Linked DNA regions of Caenorhabditis elegans. The protein of the gene in region 2 interacts with the protein of the main gene of each other region in a pairwise test. Each region holds a gene or a part of one and is shown on either strand. Other genes may lie near its edges.

Region 1 (3,537 bases), on a different chromosome or scaffold from region 2:
ACTCTGTTTCCACGTTTTTTATCAATTCATTCAAATACTAATCAATGCGAAAAAGCGTCAAAAAATCAAAAATCGCATTTGTTTCAGGAAGAAGGCAACTCTTGGGTAACAACTGAACCGTATGCAAACGATGGAGCAACTATTTCGGCGAGTTCATCAGTTGTATTCACTGATGAACAAATGTTAATTGGAAGTTCATTTGGAAGACTTCTTCATTGTGATCTTACGCATTCATATATTACATAGTCAAACTTTTAGAGCTTATTTAAAAAATAAACCGATGAATATGATCTAGAAACAGATGTGTTGTAGACATTGTATCTAGATTTATTTATAAACTTGTCGAGGCGTAACGGGGGCGCCACGCCTCCACCCCTTTTCAATAGCCTTCCAGCGTTTTAGAGGAAAGTCGATTTATGAGAATTTAGCAGCTTTCAAATTAACTAATTTCTCGTCACAATTAGTCATTCTTAGTGTCTTGATTCGAAGTCTGATAATATATTTCTCATTTATTGCCATAAAGAAATAATTGTAATACTTTAAATTTCAATATTTACTATTAAATATCACAGGAAGACAAGAACAAAGCTCATGTTGGGAATTGAGAATCTATTCGCGAACGTACTCGCGGCGAGAAACAACGGATCCAGATTCAAGAGTAGTGATAAGCTTGTCTCCTTCGAGCCAACGGGTGATAATTGATTCCTTATCAGAGTCCTTGATCTTCTTTTGAATGTGAATGAATTTTCCGTTCTCGAAGTTGACAACTGACTTGACGGTACGGCCATCTGGAGTGGTCTCATCGAATTCCTGGGATAAAAACATTAAATATAAGTCTGAAGAATGCTAGTTCAATTTCAGGGTTGAAACAATTTTTATTGGATACAATTACTTGGAATTTGGGGATAACTTGCTCAAACCAAAAGCTCAAATGGATAGGATAAAATGTTGGCAGGAATTTGCTCACAGCAAATTGTGGGCAGAAAGTCGCTAAACTTTGTCCACAATTGCCGATATCAACGAACGTGCATTTTGAAATCAGATATTGTTTCTCATGGCTTTAAAAAAATATTATTCGTGCATGAAAAAACACGAAAACTATGGGAAATACATATTGTTTATCAAAGTCTTATAACAAGAAATCAATGATCATTTTATGATTTATGGTTTGAAATGTTATCACCTGGAATTTTAAGACTTTTTGTCTGTGAATATGGAAGTAACAATTTTTATTCATAAATTTGTAGTGCGTTTCTTTATTTTTATGTAACTTTTTTGTCGCAAATTTGGAATCAGAAAACCCACATTTTTTTTGATAACATTATTTTTGTCTTTTGTAAGTAAAAAACTTTGCACTTTCTTACCTGTCCCAACTTGAAAGAAAGAGTGGTGTTCTTGAATGTGGAGTATTGGTTGGAATACCACAAATCTCCTTCGACCTTGATTTCCAAAGTTGGCTTCAAGTTGGCAGCAGCCTTACGAGTGATCAATCCAACTCCAACCTCCTTCATGTACTCCTCGAAGTTCTCTGAGTGAATGAGCTTCCAGCGTCCAACGAATTCTTGAGACATGGTGATGGTTCTGTAAATAGAAGAAGTTGGAAAAGCAGGTAAAAAGTTCAATAGATTAACGGATATGTAATAGGTCTGAATAAAACGTTAGTCTGAAATTATGGTTAAAAAATCTTATTTTAAAAATTAATTTTAGAAGATGAACTATCATATCACTTGCAAATGGAAATAAAAGAAAAGTTGCAAATCAACAAGAAAACGAATGGCAATGCCTTGGGAAATCATTCGTATTTAGGTGGTCTGATAAATGGAATGATAGGGGGCAAGAGTGGGCGGAGATTCAAAACGTTTTCTCTATTTCTGTCTCCTCTATTTTTCGTTTCGTTTTTTTTTGAAGAATGATTCATTTTTTGATTCGTTGCATCATTTTTGAAAAATAAAAATAGAAAAGAGGAAAAGTGAGGAATTTTCAGTCGAATAAAAACAAAAATATTATCAAAAAAATTCTGAAATTTCTGAGGAGGAAAATATCGTTTTTGATTAAAGTATATCTAAGTTTTAATTTTTTTTAAATTTATTTTTTTTTGAGGTAAAAAACTAGTATCTTGTACATATATAGAAGCCCATTTTCAAATTGTGAAACTTAAACAATCTTCTTTTTTTTAAAATAAAGTAAAAATGCATTTTAAACAAAAAAATTTATTGGCAATGTTGTTTCAAAATTAACATATACATACTTTAATTCTGTAATTAAATTAAATGTTGAATCTCATCATAAATTGTGAGCACAAGAGCACCTCCAGTTGCTCGGAATACATTTGAAAGACCTCCTTTGTATAATGCAGTAATTCCTTCATTCTTCACAATCTTTCTAACACAATCCAAAGTGTTTTTATAGAGAATATCCTTTCTCCCTGATTGCATCATCATTCGACGACGTACTGTATCCCATGGATATGATAAATATCCAGAACCAACTGTTCCAACTTGAGCAATTGCCCATGTCGTAAAGAAATTGAGTTTTTGCCCGTCAGTTGAGTACAATGTTTTGGCAGTATCAAACATTCCGAAATATGCTGCACGATAAATTATAATTCCTTGTACTGAAACAAAAAATCCTCTATAAAGACCAATTGGTCCATCTGATTTCACAATTTTCACAAAACAATCCGTTAGACCTTGAAACTCTCTATCCACTCCTTTTCCAACATCGGCTCCAAGACGAGTACGCACAAAATCCAGTGGGTACACGAAGCATAGAGATGTTGCACCAGCTGCTCCACCAGAAGCGAGATTTCCAGCAAAGAATTTCCAGAATTCTTTATTCTTGTCAATTCCTTCTTGAAACATCTTCTTATAAGTGTCTTTGAATGCAAAATTCAGCGCTTGCGTTGGAAAATATCGAAGCACATTTGCAAGGTTTCCTCTCCAAAATGCTGCATATCCTTGTTCTTTTGGCACTCTAGCAAGAACATCCATAATTCCTTTATATTTTTTATCGGCAGTTACTGTTTCAGAGACATCACTGACTTGAAGTAGAAGCTTTACACGTTCAATTGGAGCAACGGCAGTTTTTGAGATTGCTGCAGCAGTGCCTCCGGAGGCGAGATCAACAAGAAACTTTCGATAATCAAATCCTTCCTTTGTGGTCATTTTGTCCTTCTGGAATGTTTTTTTTCAGAGATTATATTTCCTGAATGCTGATAATAAAACTTTCTTCAAATGCGAGTAGGAAGGAGCTCACTAGACTCTTCTCAAAATTTTGGTCATGAAAGTCTAATCAATATAAAGAATAAAATTAATTTAAAAAAAAAGAAAAATCTAAAACAAAAGTGTTTCTTTAAAAATTGTTGAAACTAATGAAAAATTTTACGGAAAATAAACAAGGCCTTTTTTAACAGAGACAGAGAAAAGAAAAGGGTTTCTGGTCCTTTAAAACGTCACTCTGCGTAAACAAAAACACTATTTTTCGCTATTTATTGCATCAAAGACCGAACAAAACAAGAACAATATTCAAAATAATCTA
Region 2 (5,395 bases):
ACACACCTTTTTTGCATTTAAAACAAATTTTTCGTGTTGAGACCGGTACCGTACACCTATAGCGCAAATTACGCTAAATTTTGCATCTGTTAAATGTGTAATATTTGGGTCCCATCGAGATTTACTGTCTAAATTTCAAACTTTACGAAAAATGTTACATAATGTTCTATTTTTGTACTCTCGTCTCCATGTCCACTAGTTTTACAGGTTACTGTTCCTTTCAAAATCTTTTTTTCTCAGAATAAAAAACAATGTCATACGGATATGGTGGATACGGTAATTGTGGTGGTGGAATACTTGGATCAGTTCTTGGAATGGCTGGTGGAATGGCTGGAGGATACGGTGGATATGGTGGATATGGAGGTTATGGGTTTGTTTATTTTGAGTAGATCATTGTTCAACTCTTCGTTATTCCAGAAGATGTGGAGCAGATAATGTGTTTTATCGTTGGCGTTGTTGTGACTACAGTCCTTATGAATGTTGTATACAATTGGAGACATGGGTTGTGTGAGTTTAACTGTTTTTAAAAAGTTTTCAGAAATGCAAGAACACTTATTTTTGATTGAATTTCAGAGTATTTCTTGTCATATTCATAATTGGATTCTTCGTATGTCTTTGTGCTTGTCTAGCCGGATGTGTGTGGTCAGCTCGTAATCGTGAATAATTCCAATGTTTGACAATCAACTTATTAATTGTGATTTTGAAGGTTTCGATATGTATTTACCTCACCATTTATATGCAGTTTAAAAATAAAATAAGTAAAAACCCAGACATAATACACAGAAATAAACATGACGTATATTGAAATCATTGAATACGGGACAATTACTGTTTGAGCATAGGCACTGAAGTGTACTTTCCAAGAAGAGTCGAGAAAAGAGCTGGACCATATCCTGTACCACGATCTCCAACTTCAGCGGGAGCAGCGATATCAAGATGAAGCCAACGTAGTCCTTCGCCAAAACCAATGTGAGCACCAATAAAGAGGCCAGCGACTGCAGATGGTGGTCCATCCATTTTTCCGAGATTCGAATTTTTCATGTCAGCAATAGAAGATTTCAAGTCACCAAAGAAAAGATCCGGGGCAAAAAGCATTGGGGCAACCAAGTCTCCTGAAGCCTTTCCAGCTTTGATGATCTAAGAATGTAAAAATTAAATTGTTATTCTTTTAATGAATGACCAACTTCGTTCTCCAACTGTTCATCATTTGTCATAGCAGCTCCGTGAAGACGTCCTGAAAGCCACGCTTGTGCACCGGTCAGAGTAGCCATATCGAATATAGTTGTTGCTTTGAGAGTCTCTTTTGCATAGAAAACTCCGTCAGCAAGAATCAAACGACCTTCTGCGTCAGTATTGTTGATTTCGACGGTCTTTCCACTCAACATTTTGATAATATCATCAGGCTTGCTGGAAATTAAATCATAAAGTAAAATTGAATTGAAGTTAAATATACTTTGCAATTGGGCTGACATTATTCTCAACAATACAGAGACAAGCATGGAGAGTTTGTGAAAAACCGTGTTTGACAAGAGCAGAGTAAGCTTCAAGCATTCCAGCGGCACCTCCCATATCTCTTTTCATATCTGAAAAAATCCATTTTCATAAATAATAATTGAAGTTTTTCATACTTGGCATTCCAGTCTTGGTCTTAATTTGCAAGCCTCCAGTGTCGTATACAACTCCTTTTCCGACAAGTGCAATGTGCTCCGTCGATCCAGGAACCTCATGGGACAAGACAACAAACGCAGGTGGTGTTGGACCAGCTTTTCCGACGTGATAGATTCCGCCAAATCCAGCCTTCAACAGTTCTTCCCCACGGATCACTGTTATTTTTGATCCAGTCGCATTTCCAACTTTGACTGCTTCATCAACAAGAGCATCAGTAGTCAGGATATTGGCTGGAGTATCGATGAGTCTTGCGGTTTCACGGACCGATTCTGAGAGATCAGTAAGGAAAACTGCATCCTCGTTGGTGAGCTGCAAAGAAATTGAATGTTTGTTTTTCAATTAAAACAAAACAATTAATTCGGATTTTGAGATTGAGATCTTGAAGGACACATAACTTTCTTATCAACGGAAGTTCATGAAGACCGCCGAATTTTGCAGAAGCTATCAAATGATTCTACTAGTTCCTCTTTTTTAATTTCGTCACACTACGCAATAAACTCTTATCGTATTTCTACATTATCAGCACACAATTCCAGAAAAGAATAGTCTCCAGGCTGACTTTGCAAATAGAAGCAAGCACATGGTGTCTGCTGTCTATCAGTGATGATAAAACTATACAGATCAATATATCAAAATGAAGGATAGTTGTCACATACCTTGTCGCAAACCACATCGATATTCACATTCAGTTCACGAATTCCTGAAGTTTTCATCGAGAACTTGCAGAAGGTCCGAGCAATAGCCGCAACGTGAGAAAGAACATCTGGATATTCAGCAAACAGCACAAAATGAACATTCTTTGTATCCTCAGGATAGTTGATTGGTTTTAACTCCTTATATATCGAATGAGCATTAGTGGGGGTATTTCCACGTGAAGAGGCATCTGGGACAGTGATCAAATGAGCCAGCTCGTAGTGAAGAGGATGACGTCCTGAGGCGGGGATTCGAGAAATCATAGAGTTCCATGAGTCGCCATCTGAAATTATTTTTATATTATGGAAAAGTATGAACCATCTGCAGATGCAAAATGTTGTTCTCTTTACACCAACCATACGGTACCAGGTCTCGACAAGAGACATTTTTGTAAACTACAGGGAGGTGTGGGTCTTTTAGAGTACTGTAATTTCAAAATCTCATTTATTCTGAATGGTTCATGATTTTCCATACATACCTGTGCGGCATTTGGTTTCGGCATTTGAACAAAATGCACTTTTTCATAAATATGAAAATACGTCATACGGCATACGGCATACGGCATTCGCCATACGGCATTTGGGTGCATATCTCGAGCAGGGGTAAACTTTTTTTGAAATTTTTTTGACTGGTGACAAGCCTAAGAGTCAGGCTTCTCATCGTATGCTATTTCATACATATACGTATTTTCATATTTATGAAAAAGTGCATTTTGTTCAAATGCCGAAACCAAATGCCGCACGGGTATGTTTCCATAGTCTCTTCCGCGCTTTGTTAAAATGTATGTGTTTTTATTTAATATATGTTTAATATTTAGTATGTATATAGATATCTCTAGATATATATGAATTTTTTTAAACGAAAGTGACCATGTACCGTAATTTTGGACAAAAATCAAAAAACATCGCGTTTGTGTAATCTACCAAAACCGAACCTGTAACAAACTTTTGTGCGACTTCTTTGAATTTTCCTTCGAAAGTCACATTTTTCAAGACACTCTTCTTTCCAACAATGATTAGGCTAGTCAGGCCATCTCCAACAGCTTGAATCCCGTTACGAACGAGGACTTGTGTCATTTTTAGGTGACACTAATCACTGAAATTAGAAACTTTGAAAACCTTTTGAATTAAAAAAAAACAAAGTTGGAAAGTATAAACTATAGTATTCAGACTAAAAAAGGCAAACTCTTTTTAGAAAAAAGGTGTAAAAATTATTACTCAAATAAACCGTTTATCAGTTCCTCCAGCAGGTAGAGAAAGAGTGACCAGAGAAACATAAATGCGAGAAAAGGATGATAAAAAATGGCGAGAGAAAATGTAGAGCAAAAAAATGAGAAATTGAGAGAAGGAACAAATCTTCAGGGCGCGTGTTTGCATACATTCGTGGTCTAAAATTTGAGAGGTTGTGAAATAATGAGGAGCGAAATTTAAAATTTTAATTAAGTTCAAATCAACTCCTATATTAAAGTTGCCTAGGCATAAATAAATTGATAACCCTCACAATCCCGTAGAGTAAAAAAACATGCTACTTCGAATATCTAATTGATTAGTGAGCTTCTAAAATTAATAAATAACTTTCGGTACAGAAAAATTCTAGCCAACTAATTGCAAAACACAATGAAAATGTTAGAAACTATGATGAAGCATGCAATATAGACTGGAATATGACATGAAAAAGAATTGAACATAATTAAACGGGGGCCAATGTCGCTTTCAACATCCGTACTTCTTCCAAAGAAGTGACACGTGATGGCTGATTGTCCTGTTTTCCCATTGACACCTTATTCAATGGAGCATTTTTCTTGGCAACAGAAGCTGAAGCATGATACCAGTGACATTTAGTCCATTCGACAAGATTCGCGACATTCGAACTGTTCACACCACAACCTGCGAGAACATCGATCTTTCCTTTGTGAAGTTCTTGCATTTCTCGAATGATATAAACTCCGTCGAGTGCTGACGGCTCTTGTCCACTTGTCAAAACAGCTTTGAATCCAACATCAATAGCGTCCTCAAGACAAGTTTTCCAGTCATAGGCGACGTCAATTGCTCGATGAAATGTGACAGGATGTGGACGGGCAGTTTCAATTATTGATTGACATGATGTACGATCCAATGAACCGGCTCTGAAAATTGAAATTTTTTGTGGATCATCCAGAGCAATCAACCGTTATAATTACAAAACTTCTTTCGTAATTTTGCCGCATGTCTATGCATTTTAAATGTTTTTTAAAAACAAGCTTTCCGCATTGTTCAAAAATTAAGTCAGCCTAAAAATAATTATTTAAATGTTATGTAAAATTTTTATTGATAAACTTGATTGAGAATTTATTTGCGGAAAATGGTGAAAAATTCGAAATGAAACAAGAATATGTTTTTCTTTTTTCATTTAAACATGTTGGAAATAAAATTATAATATATTTATTTGTTTCATTCAATTTAAAACTCTCCGACTTACGATGTTAATGCTCCAAAAACGAATCCTGTGGCACCAGCTTTTTTGAGCCATTCAACGTCTTCCATATTCGCTGCCATTTCGTCTTCATTATACACAAAATCGCCTGCCCGTTGGCGAATCATACAATAAAGTGGAATATCGGGATACTTGTAGCTCAGAATAGACACAAATCCGACGGATGGAGTGAGCCCTCCGAGTTGTAAAGCTGAGCAAACTTCCAATCGATCAGCTCCACCGGCAACAGCATTTTCCGCAGATTCCAGATTATCGATGCATATTTCCAGTTTTATTTGCTTCTGGGATTCTGTTTCTGTCATCTTAACACAATAGAGTTTGAGAAAATATGTTTTTAACATTGTAAAGAATAGGTATAAAGTTATGGTTTAAAATCCGAAAACTCAGCAAGAAAACTGAACATATCTGGGATAAATGAAAACTTTTATTCGATTCGAATTATAAACGAGCAAAAAATAAATTATCCATGGCGATGAACTTTTGGTGTTGGAATCACAGGCGACAAGAAATTTACATTATTACATGAACTGAGTAGAATTTCCATTGAAACTGGCTCGCTCTT

Evidence for each region.
Region 1: the proteins of lap-1 (region 2) and lbp-6 interact in a two-hybrid assay, tested with the Caenorhabditis elegans proteins (one study listed by BioGRID).

The regions. Positions count from the first base shown.
Region 1 is NC_003279.8:6,727,796-6,731,332, forward strand, and holds lbp-6 (Fatty acid-binding protein homolog 6), read right to left. Parts: upstream 1,582-3,537; 5' UTR 1,572-1,581; coding exon 1,365-1,571; intron 811-1,364; coding exon 610-810; 3' UTR 501-609; downstream 1-500. Other genes in the region: mec-6 (Mechanosensory abnormality protein 6), read left to right, coding at 88-246; ant-1.2 (ADP/ATP translocase), read right to left, coding at 2,262-3,164; lbp-5 (Fatty acid-binding protein homolog 5), read right to left, coding at 3,535-3,537.
Region 2 is NC_003281.10:8,398,473-8,403,867, forward strand, and holds lap-1 (Leucine aminopeptidase 1), read right to left. Parts: upstream 3,457-5,395; 5' UTR 3,438-3,456; coding exon 3,296-3,437; intron 2,645-3,295; coding exon 2,325-2,644; intron 1,978-2,324; coding exon 1,629-1,977; intron 1,584-1,628; coding exon 1,454-1,583; intron 1,408-1,453; coding exon 1,185-1,407; intron 1,138-1,184; coding exon 826-1,137; 3' UTR 720-825; downstream 1-719. Other genes in the region: ZK353.2 (uncharacterized protein), read left to right, coding at 252-370, 418-507, 574-664; cutc-1 (Copper homeostasis protein cutC homolog), read right to left, coding at 4,051-4,486, 4,819-5,135; ubxn-4 (UBX domain-containing protein 4), read right to left, coding at 5,352-5,395. UniProt on the Caenorhabditis elegans protein: Probably acts as a digestive enzyme.